Astyanax mexicanus: one gene and its partners. The protein of the gene in region 2 interacts with the protein of the main gene of each other region in a biochemical or structural test. Links are inferred from orthologs where the notes say so. Each region holds a gene or a part of one and is shown on either strand. Other genes may lie near its edges.

What was found.
Region 1: of the proteins of uba1 (region 2) and ube2z, one has a biochemical effect on the other in vitro, tested with the Homo sapiens proteins (3 studies listed by BioGRID). The link is inferred for Astyanax mexicanus from reciprocal best matches to the Homo sapiens genes UBA1 and UBE2Z.
Region 3: the proteins of uba1 (region 2) and ube2j1 form a complex in vitro, tested with the Homo sapiens proteins (2 studies listed by BioGRID, with this or other methods). The link is inferred for Astyanax mexicanus from reciprocal best matches to the Homo sapiens genes UBA1 and UBE2J1.

What each region holds. Positions count from the first base shown.
Region 1 is NC_064426.1:33,233,204-33,236,957, reverse strand, and holds the start of ube2z (ubiquitin-conjugating enzyme E2 Z), read left to right. Parts: upstream 1-1,496; 5' UTR 1,497-2,028; coding exon 2,029-2,474; intron 2,475-3,754. UniProt on the Homo sapiens protein: Catalyzes the covalent attachment of ubiquitin to other proteins. Specific substrate for UBA6, not charged with ubiquitin by UBE1. May be involved in apoptosis regulation.
Region 2 is NC_064420.1:35,310,829-35,314,582, forward strand, and holds the start of uba1 (ubiquitin-like modifier-activating enzyme 1), read left to right. Parts: upstream 1-973; 5' UTR 974-1,215; intron 1,216-3,754. UniProt on the Homo sapiens protein: Catalyzes the first step in ubiquitin conjugation to mark cellular proteins for degradation through the ubiquitin-proteasome system.
Region 3 is NC_064408.1:49,531,463-49,535,216, forward strand, and holds the start of ube2j1 (ubiquitin-conjugating enzyme E2 J1), read left to right. Parts: upstream 1-928; 5' UTR 929-1,253; coding exon 1,254-1,284; intron 1,285-3,754. UniProt on the Homo sapiens protein: Catalyzes the covalent attachment of ubiquitin to other proteins. Functions in the selective degradation of misfolded membrane proteins from the endoplasmic reticulum (ERAD) and is essential for cells to recover from ER stress.

The DNA of each region.
Region 1 (3,754 bases), on a different chromosome or scaffold from region 2:
ACAGACTATATTCCTATCACTAAACAAGAATAAAAGTACTGAAAAACAGGAAATAAGGTAATTAAACTACAAACAAAAGTACATTTTAGTAATTTATTAAATAAATGTAATGCTGTTCACAGTTATTTATGTGAATGTTGATTAAATAATAATATAGTATGCCTGCTTTACATTTCATTGCCTAATTGTAACATCTACTCTTCCCAGTACCTGCTTATAAACAGATAAGATTAACATTGAGTTAAATTGTGGTTACCAGTATGTCATGTGGCAAATTAATTCCCCATCCCTGCTCTAGAAGGTATGTATATAAGGTTGGATCCTGTAAACTATTGGATGAGCAGCTATAAGAGAATGCCATTGGCCATTGGGCAACTAACTCATCCTATCAATGTTTGGCAAAAAAAAAAGACAAAGTGCCCTATTGACTGCCCTTCTTGTGAGGAAAAAGTTGTCTGCCAGACGACCCCTTCTTTCTATAAATGATTATGATGATTTGCTCTATAGATCAAGACATTTGGTTAATTTGATAATGTGTCTACTGGGGTGCTCCTCTGCCCCAGTAGAAAGGGGGGCTGACATGTAAATTAAAATTTCTCCAGTTTTACACCAGATATTTGCTAATCCAACCATCTGAATATCCAATGGCATCGCTAGTTAGCCACTGTTCTCTGTTTAAACCAAAGTGAGAGAGATAGGCTTCGGATGCCACTGGTCGGTATGTGTATCAGATAATGTTACCACAGCTAATGTGGAAGGAATGTTTAATACAAATATGTAATAATGTGCCCCTAAAGTTATTTCTATCTTTTTATCTGCTGAAAAAACATTAAAAATTAAAGTAATACACCTCCCCTGTACATAATAGTTTTGTGTCCTTTTTATTTTGATCTAACCCGCTACCCCCTCCCATTAAATCACTTACAATTTATTTACAGTCCACAGTTGTTTTTAAAGGGGGTCGGTGAGGCTGGATTCATTCAGCATCCTTAAATCTCTGATTCAAGAACATCCTCAGAACATTAAAATAATGCAAACAAGTTCATATTCATAAAGTTTTAAGAAATCAATATTTGGTAGAATAACCCTGTTTTTAATCACAGTTTTCATGCATCTTGGCATGTTCTTCTCCACCATTCTTACACACTGCTTTTGGGTAACTTTATGCCTTTACTCCTGGTGCACAAATTCAAGCAGTTCAGCTTGCTTTGATGGCTTGTGATCATCAATCCTCTTGATTATATTACAGAGGTTTTCGATTTGGTAAAATCAAAGAAACTCATCATTTTTAAGTGGTCTCTTATTTTTGTCCAGAGCTGTATGTACTGCTTTAAAGACCATGGGTCTATTTTTTCATCTTGCTGAGGAACTTGTTTTCTCCCTAGATCAGAAATAGAAAGATGACTACAGAGTGTTTTCATGAGCACTGCTTGAGTGTTTACTGAAGTGAAGGGGAATCTACAGTAGCCTGCACATTGTTCCAGTGTGACACGCACTTTCCAGTGTTGGAGGACTCGCTGGACATTAAAACTTCACTTTTCGGTTTCGTTTTTAGGAGTTTACCGGCAGATGGCGTTATGATTTTCCTCCCTTACATGAGAAGGAAGTAGCTGAACGAAATAACACGGTAATGAAAATTTGAGACTAACTAAAGCGGAGGTGAGAACGATAGTAGAGTGTAAGTTTTCTGTGTGTATGTGGTTTAACTTTGACTTTATTTATACAGCGTTCCGTGAAATCAGCTGCTTGGCCGGTTAGCGTCAAATCGTTTATTAGAGTGGAAATCGCCTACAGGGTATGTTATGTTTTAGGGTGGGAAAGAAGCTGGGGACGATGGGGCTCTCTCTCTCCGCCCCGCTGCGCTGTAACGTATAATAAATACCTATATAAGCTATTAAAGTAATAACCTAGCCCGAAGAACTGCGAGGAGAAGCTGGTCAAAGTGACAACTCTAGCTTTATCTAGGTTAAATTGCTGTCAGGGTGTTTGGGGCCATTATAGCTAACCAGCTAATAGTGAGCCTCAACCATGGCGGATAGCGTTGGAGAGGGGTCCAACGGCGCTGTTGGAGCGAGTCAGGGAGCTGGAGCCCAGTTGTCAGCGAGTTTGGGTCACTCTTTGCCGGGGCACTCGACCAGCGGAGCTAACCCGGCCTCCCCGCCTCCTGCCGCGGCTGCAGAGACTGGCCTAGCCGCGGTGCCTCCACCTGCTATAGCACACAACATCACCTCGGTCTTGGAGAGCGGACCCGGCGTCGCCGTGCTCAGCCACGCCGTGAGCTCCAGCATCTCGGCCCCTGCGGCCGTGCCTCCCTCGCTCCCACCCAGCATCGGCCTGGGGGTCACCGGGGCTCCGCCGAGCTTAGCCGGAGCCGGCCTTCTGTCCCAGATTCACGCCACGTCCTGGGACCCCACTCTAAGCACAGACTGGGACAACGAGAAGGCTTCGCAGCAGTGCATTCTCCGGATAAAAAGGTAAGTTAACTAGCTAGCTAACTAGGTTAACTACTAACATATCAACAGCATGATAAGCTGGCTAGCTTGCTTACTAGCTAATTATTCAATAATAATAATCGTTTTAAAATTGATAGCCATTTAACTTAATCACTGTATTCTTTTTGACTTGACTAAATAATAACTAAAGCTTATTCTCTTTAATAGTATTTATGTATAACAAAACAAAAAAGTTTAAAAGACAAAACTTATGGTCAAGAACATTTTTAAAGAACTGTATTAAATTAACTAACGCTATATTAATCATACCTGCTATGTTTTTTGTTCTTTACTTTGTAACGTTATCAGTTATTAATGTCTATGTATTTTATTTATTTGAGTTTAATGTAACTTATCTAGATAATCTAATAGGTTTCCCTAAGATAATTTGTTAACAAATTAATTTAGTTAACCTTAATCTTGTCGCCTGTCTGAGGTAACGTAGATTAAACTTTTTCTCACTGGCTACTTTTGCTAGCTTAATAGCTAAGCTAACTAGCCAGCTAGCTAAATAGCTTGCTAGCGAGCTAACGCTAACTTAGCTAACAAGCTAGGTTAGCTACCTAGTTCAGTAGGAAGTTGCGTAGCTTTGACTAGGTGAACTAGCTAACGTAGCTACCTGGCCTTAGCCAAACATATGTTCACAGTTTGCTATCTTAGTAGCAACATTAGCTAACCTAACTAGCTAGCTAGCTGTAAAATGTTATACTGCTTTCATATTTAGCTAGTGCTGATTTAGGCTTTATTAGGCTATTATGGTGCACAATTCTGGTAAAATTTCATAACCCTTAACAAAAGTGGGCCAAATCACGTAAACTGGCAAACCCACAATTATTCACCAATACTTTTTACCAGTGTTTGACTAAGTATACAAACCATGTACACAATGGTTGAGTTACAATGAGATATAAAATAAGCAAATTGAGCAGCATGTTCATGATTTTTTTTATTTACTGTAATAAAGAAGGCACATGACGGTAATATTTTAGGGTTAAAATCCTGATGTAACATAAATGATACAGCAACAATTTTATTTAATATTTCTATAAATCGTGTCAAAACATACAACGGAATCCAAAACAAAATATTTGATCTACCATTAAAAAGTACTGCTATTTGCTTGCCTCTGAAATTAGTTTTAATTATGTCACCATGCAGCAGTTGGTGGGAATAAATAATATAAATGTTTATATTATTATTATTATTATTATTTTTATTATTATTATTATTATTATTTATTATATTATTATATTATATTTTGT
Region 2 (3,754 bases):
AAAACAATTTTTTTCTGCACTACACTAGATGTACAAATAATGGGTTTTTACATACAATATTCTAGTTTTGCATTTAAGCTCAAATAGTCAAAAAATGTTTACTAATGAATGTTAAAGGTCAGTGTAATGTTTTGTTTTCTGAGTGTTTAAGGCTAAATGCAAAAATAGAAAATTGAATGTAAAAACTCATTATTTGTTTTTTTTTTTTAAAGTAGTGCAGTGTACAAAAAATGTATCCATTTTTCCAATTTTTTTTCGTCTCTGCCCCTCACAATCGGAATTTCAGAAAAGAAAAAATCTGTTTTTTTTTTTCATTTTTGCATCTTGCAAGTTAGATTATACCATCAGATTTGTGTTACAAGGTACAAAAATAGACAAATCAGAAAATCGAGATACTCTTATATTTTTAAAAAAATTCTGTTAGCGAAAGGCTGAAATGAAAAACTAGAAGAAAAAAAATGTATGAAAATCCATTTTTTTCTTGACTTTACAGAATAGGAAAAAAGTTATATAATCAATTTTCTATTTTCGAATTTAGCTTGATACAGTCAGAAAACTAAACTGCTATAGGTTACACTGACCGTTAACGCTTTTAACACCATTACCTCTAGACAACAGACTAAACTCAGAAATAGTGAAATAGTGCATCATTCGTATCAGTACTGCGTTTCCCGCCATGCTCAGCGCCAAATGCAAACTACGGGCGAGCTTATTTCAGGACACGCGGGGGTGTTTCCAGTAGTTTCCAGTGCGTGCAGAAATATTTGAGACCTTTCCCGTGCTGTATTAAAGATGAATCATGTGCAGTGCTGTGTTAATGTTGATTGACTGAAGCTGTTTGAGTAAATAAGGTCAGAGTGTTGTGAATTAAGGGGTGAGATGTGGGCTCGTGCAGCGTGTGTTCACCTCGTGCAGTCTGCAGTTCCTGACTCAAACTCTGCACATGTTGCTGCTCCGCCGCTCGTGAACAACTGAAGAATAGAAGTGAGCACTTCTCGCGCTCAGAGCTGGTAACGGTAGCGGTAACGGTGCGGTTGGTGGTCAGTGGTCAGGAGTCAGTCCAGCTTCTTCTCAGCTTGGAAAGTCGAGGAGCTCGAGCCACTTCGATACAGTGTGATATTAACGGTTAGACTAGTGGGTTTTACCGTTTTTTTGTTGCCTGAGAAGCGTTTCTGTGTTCAGTACGGTGGAAAGGCCCCGGTAATATCGGATGTGGTGAGTTCTGCATACTTATGTGCCTGGCTAATGCTAACCAGCTAGGTTAGCTAGCAAGCTAAATAGCAAACGCGTACACAATAATAGATTTGGGCATCTTGCTTAGCAAGCTAGCTAGGTTAGCTAAGCTAGCTAGATTAGCTAGAAATTTAACTAGGTTAACTAGCTAACCACATCGGTAGCTAACTAACTTAACTAGTAGCTAGCTAGTTAGGCTAAGAATGTGCCTCAAAGACTTGTCTGTATAAGCTAGCTAGCAAAATTAAAATTGTAGTAACAGTTAAGTTAGTTAGCTAGCTAACCTTATTTGCATGGTTTTAAACGTAACCACATGATGGTGGAAAATTCTAGCTTGATATGAGATGACTTGTGATATAACGTTATATTTGTAACGTAAATAAATTAGAATTTAGATGCATTTATATTATAATTTAGCTAACCATAAGTGGTTTAAACAGTCAAAGTTGTCAGTCCTTTTTGTCTTATCCCTTGTGGTGATTAGCTAGTTATCTAACCTACATAGTTAACTAGTTAGCTTAGCTAGCTGGCTAGCTAAATAGCTGTTGTAAACAAATAAATACATTTTTGAAATTGAAAGACTGGCTCAGCAAGACATGCTTTTTTGTGAGGAATGCTTCAATACTGAATCTACAAATAGCTATTTGCAAGCTAGCTAGGCTAGCTAACCTAACAAGAAACTACAAAGACATGGAAAGACATGCTTTGCTTTCCTTGCCTTCCCCTTGTTGCGCTCTAGCATCGTTTGGCAGTTATTGGCCAACCTAGGTTAGCTCTCTTGGCTACAATTTCTCTACCAGTCCACAATGATTATTAACATAGCTAGCTGGTTAGCTAAAGCTAGCTATCAGTGCTCTTTTGTGGTCTGTGGGATCTACAGTAGTACAGGGTGATACTAATCATAAGCATGTAGGTTAAAGAAATTGCATAAACTTAGGAGTCAGAATGGGAGTCAGCAGCAGTTGCACGGTTGACTGTATTGATATAGATAAGCAATCAGCCATGCTGCACATTATTACTATCATTGGCGCCACTGGTAGCTAACCAGTGCTGGTGGTCAGATATATTTTGAAGATAGCAGTCTAGCTTCCATAGCTAGTTAGCCAGATAGCTAAATAACTCGCCGAATTACATATAGTAACCTAGTTCTAAAGCCTGCTAGCTCTAAAGCCTGCTAGGTTTGCTAGCTAGCTCACCGCTGTTTATTTTGTCGTCCTTAAAAGTGGCCGCGCTGGCACTTTAACAACTAATAATCTACGCTGAGCGGATCAATATTCGCCCATTGAAGCGCAGATGAACGGGGTACCTGTGCAGAGCAGTGGAGTGTGATGTGTGAAAGAGTTGCACATATCGTTTACTCGGGGGGGGAGAAAGCCGCTTACAGCCAGAATTGAAGCCCCTGTCTTGGCCTCAATTCCCCACACAAACAAGAATAAACGGCCCTCTTGGGCCTTTGTCACAAGGTATCAACCCCTCCTTCCAACGTTTATTCGTTTTATATGTATTTTTTTGTATTTGTTTCATGAAGTGCGAACCCAACAATGCTTTGTTGCATCCTTGCATCCTGTCATCATGCATTCTTGCATTCTTGCATTCTTGCAAGTCTCTGTGAAACAGATAAACATGAACCCATCATCTCCATTCTTAAGGCCAGAATTGGTTTAGTGGGGTAAAAAGGCCCCCCCAGAAGTGAGCTGTGGAGCAGTGGATCTGTATTCTTTGGAATGATGGTGCTCAATCAGTACTTTTGAGATGAAATGGGGTTTTGATATTACTATCTGTAAATGCAATCAGATCCAGAGAACAGTGTTTTCAAAATCTAGAAGAAAGCCACTCCTGGTCAGTAGAGACATTTTCTCCAAAAAAGCAGTATAAATACCTTTTTAATATAATTAAATAAGCAATGAATTACCAACATTTTGTCCATATAGTGTAGTATTTGGCAAATATTCATTGTCCAGAGCTCCTGGATTCTGCATCATTTTATGTATTATTGAAATCTATTCATTACATTTGAGTTAGATTAAAATAAGCTTGGTCAGTGTTATTCAAGGGGAACAAAATTGTTTAAGTAGTAAGGTAGACGTTTACAACAATGGAAAAGCTTACATCAGCATGGGTCATATTAGGCCAATTCAGTTTCCTATAATGCCATTCTTTTATATAGCACAAGCTGGGTTCAGGTAGCTGTGAGTGCTGGGTTTAGGCTTGCTGGAAACTACTTCAGACTGTTGGCTAAGTGATTGTCGGTACATAATTCTGAAAGGACTCTTTGGGACATCAAATAATTTGCTTACAAATGGAATTACTTGAGAGAATTCTGAGATAATAGACTGATTTCATGTAGTTAATAATCTTGGCTCTGTCTCCTATTAGTGTCTTTGTGTCTCTTGTAGGTTTCTTGTCTTTACAACCCCTGTCATTCTTCAATAGGAATGTTAGTGGAGAGTGTTCTGTGGTTCTATATTGTTCTATATGTAACTAGGCCTGTCTTGATAAAATTATTTTTGTTGACAATATA
Region 3 (3,754 bases), on a different chromosome or scaffold from region 2:
TTTGTTGGACCGCCTTTAGCTTTGATTACAGCACACATTCCTTGTGGCATTGTTTCAGTAAGCTTCTAAGCTTCTACCAAGATCTTGATGATGGTAGAGTCTGAAGCACTGCACAAAGTCTTTTCCAGCACATCCCAAAAATTCTCAATGGGGTTAAGGTCTGGACTCTGTGGTGAACAATCCATGTGTGAAAATTATGTACTCATGTTTCCTGATCCTCACAATTCCAGCCCCTTCAATCCTGGCATTTTCATCTTGGAATATCCCTGTGTCATCAGGGAAGAAAAAATCCATTGATGGAATAACCTGGTCTATATTCAGTATATTCAGGTAGTCAGCTGACCTCATTCTTTCAGCACAGACCTGACCAACTGCAGCATCAACACCACATAATTTACTTCCTATAATCCAGATGAAGACTTTTTTTTGAGAGGGCAGTGTATTATATAGGATAAGATAAGATAAAGGCAAGGCAAGATAAAGTAATCTTTTATTAATGCCAGAGCCAGGCAATTTACAATGTTACAGTAGCACAGAGGACAGAATAGGATTGAGTGTCAGGAAATGTACAAAGAAGTGGTTTATACAGGGGTTTGGTATTTTCCCAATAAATGAATTAATAAATATAATATATTTGTGTCGTTTGTTTGCTTTGGTTCTGTTTATTTACCTTTTTCCTCTGAGGTATATATGCAGAAAAAGACTATAATATAACTCAGAAAGGTTCAGAAACTATGAAGCACCACTGTATATGAGTACCACAGGAAGTGAATATATTACATTATGATATTATATATTAAATTGGTTTATACAGCACTGTAGAACGTTTATAGTTAGTTTTTAGCTATGGTTGAAGCCAGCTGTGGATTATTTATGTGAGAAGAGTCTTTTCTGTAGGGAATAAACCTCGGAACGCGGTTTCACATAAAGTTTTGTGGTTCAATCAGGCTGAGTTTGTTTCGTTTTTCAGGGACTTTTTGGTGCTCTGTGTGGTTTCAGTCTGCCCACTGAAAACACACGAGCAGAAACACTTCGCCACGTCACTGGCTCTGGTTCGGGCGCTGACAGCTGCCGGAGTGAACGGGTTTACGGAGCTCACAGGCTAAAACAGCCCCACAACAAACCCGGATCCACACCGGCTGCGTTGCTTAGCAGCAAGTTTTAGCCGGCTAACGCTGGACCTGTGAATAACAACAACAAGCAGAAGAAGAAAAAGAAGGAATAGCAGGAAACACTCTGACATCTGGGGAAAGATGGAGAACAAATACAACCTCAAGAGCCCAGGTAACTAACATCCACAGATAGTTAGCTATTCAAGTGCTGAAAGGAGTGTGAAAGGAGGCCAGCTGTGTGTTTTTAGCCGGCTTAGCATAGAAAGCTAGCTAAGCTACCTATAGCTACTGCTGCATTTGTTTAAGGTAGCTAACCGCTAGCTAACCCAAGCAAACTTTTCACATTCTCGGTTGTCAGCGCATTGGGATGTAAAAATGAACTGTTAACCTTTTTTTAAATAGATTTGTATTAGCTTTAACCGTTAACGATAAAGTTAAGATGGCTATACGGGTTAAACTGTTGGGTTAGCTAGCTAGTTAGCTTGCTAACCCAACAGCTATGCTGGCCGCTGTGACAGCTGTCAACGTCTCAAGAGGAGATAAACAATTAACGTTAGCTATTAACTTCAGCTGTTAAAGGTAGTGACAAACGTGAATTTTGATTTATAGACTTGTAACTTGTAAAATGGAGATTTTTCAACAAAGCTGTTGGCTGCTTTGTTCCCTGTGTGTTTGCTATATTAACCTTAGCTAGCTAACTAGCTTAGCTTACTAACTAACCAACCTAGCTAGCGTGTAACTTATTTGTTGTTGTTAGCAAATGTAAGCTAACTAGTTAACGTTTTGCTAACTTAGCAAACAAACATTGTCCATACTTTTCTAATAAAGTAGCTAAATAAATAAGTCAAGTAGTGATACAGGCCAAAATGTCCTACCTAGCTTTATTTGTCAGATATTGTTTAGATTTTCATTGTCTTTGTCACATTTAGTCCCTCCATGCAGTTCCATATATTAGCATTTTGGAAGTTACACAAGTTTAATGAATGGGAATGTATAAAGCTTAACGTTAGCTATAGCTTCTGTGAAACCTTAGGAATCCCTTATGGCCTGTTTCTAAGACCTGGATTAAGCCACGTGTAGAGCTTGGAGACAGAGCAGTGTAGACCAAGCGACAAGCCTTCTGTGTGCTGCATGTGCACAAATTGAGCTAGTCCAATACTTTGCATGGCTTTATTTGCATATCACTTTATTGTAAGCTCTTATCTAAGTGACACATGCAAATTCTCCTTCATTGACCCTCTAAATACAATTAAACATTTTTTGTTTAAAAATAACGTTCCAGAGATTGCACGAGTGTTACAGTTGGTCAACACATGTCAGTTGCACATTTGTAAATCTTATTATTGCAAGAAAGTAGTCCATTTTCTTGTGTAATCCTTCAATAAGAACTGATTTTTAAGGATTGAATTAGCTCTGTAAGCTGTGGAACCTTTTGAAACCATGATGTATTATATTTTCTGTGCTCAAGGCTAGTAAGATGCAGTTTGTCAGCACTTTGCTGCAGGGATAGATAGTCTATATTCTGCCTGATGTTGGAATATTGTCTCTTAATTAAAATGCATCTTCAAATTATCCCAATGCTTTTCAATGGACCTCCATCACAGATATAATGCAGGACATTGGTCATGGTGACCTTTAAGTCTCATTTCAGCTGCTATGTTATGTTATGTTATGCAGCTAAAGTTGTTGAATATCCTATATATGACTAGATGTTTTTGGACATTATAGTGTACAGACTTGATTTTGCATTAGATTTATAAGAAACATTCAGGGCCCAGTTAACCTGTTGGATTGATGCTTCATTCAGCTGTCATGAGACCATTGTTCCGAAGAATGCAGGACATTGTTACATTGACATTGACGGTCATGGATGACCTGTTCCTGCTCCGGAGGGCTACAGTGTCTTGGCACGCCTACGTATTTTTATGTAACCTCTGTCTCACAGCTTCTCTGGACGGCCCCTTAACTGCCCCTGGCCTACGATGTCTGAAGGGCACCATGTTATGTAAGATGATTTTATGTGTTGCTCTGTAATCCCTCCCACTCTCACACCTCCCCTGAGGTCAGTGAGCGTCCAAGCACCCTGCCCTCTGCTGGGCCCAGGAGCACATCTGTGGGCGGAGGCTTTTCCTGTCACTTTTGCTTCCTGTCAGTTGTTGTAGAAGAGAGGAAAGAGAGAAAAAGAGAGGCTGGAGGTTGCAAAAATAAGCAAGGACTTTGTTGTCAGACTGGATCATAGTCTTTGCAGGGACAACATCGCGAAGAAGGAGGGGTTGGGGTGGGTAGAGGCGCCGACTGAGAGTTCACACGCCTCCTTCTGTAACCTGCGGCGACTGCACTTGTCTCTTCCTGTCGGCCGGGACGGTGCAGAAATGTCATCTCCTGGCATGGGGCGAACGATGGCTCACACGTTCGCCGCTTAGCTTTCGCACACTTTAATGCCTCGTTTATGAACGATTAGACACGAAGGGGACTAAGCACAACCTAGACGGGATGATGGCTGGACTGCACATGTGACTGGGCTCTATGCCTGGCCTTTCTAGGGGGTGCTTCATTGTTACTGGAGGCCTGAACTGCAGAAAACCCTGTTATCCATTTGTAAAAAAGTGTGAAAAAGTGTTTGCCCCTTCATGATTTATTAT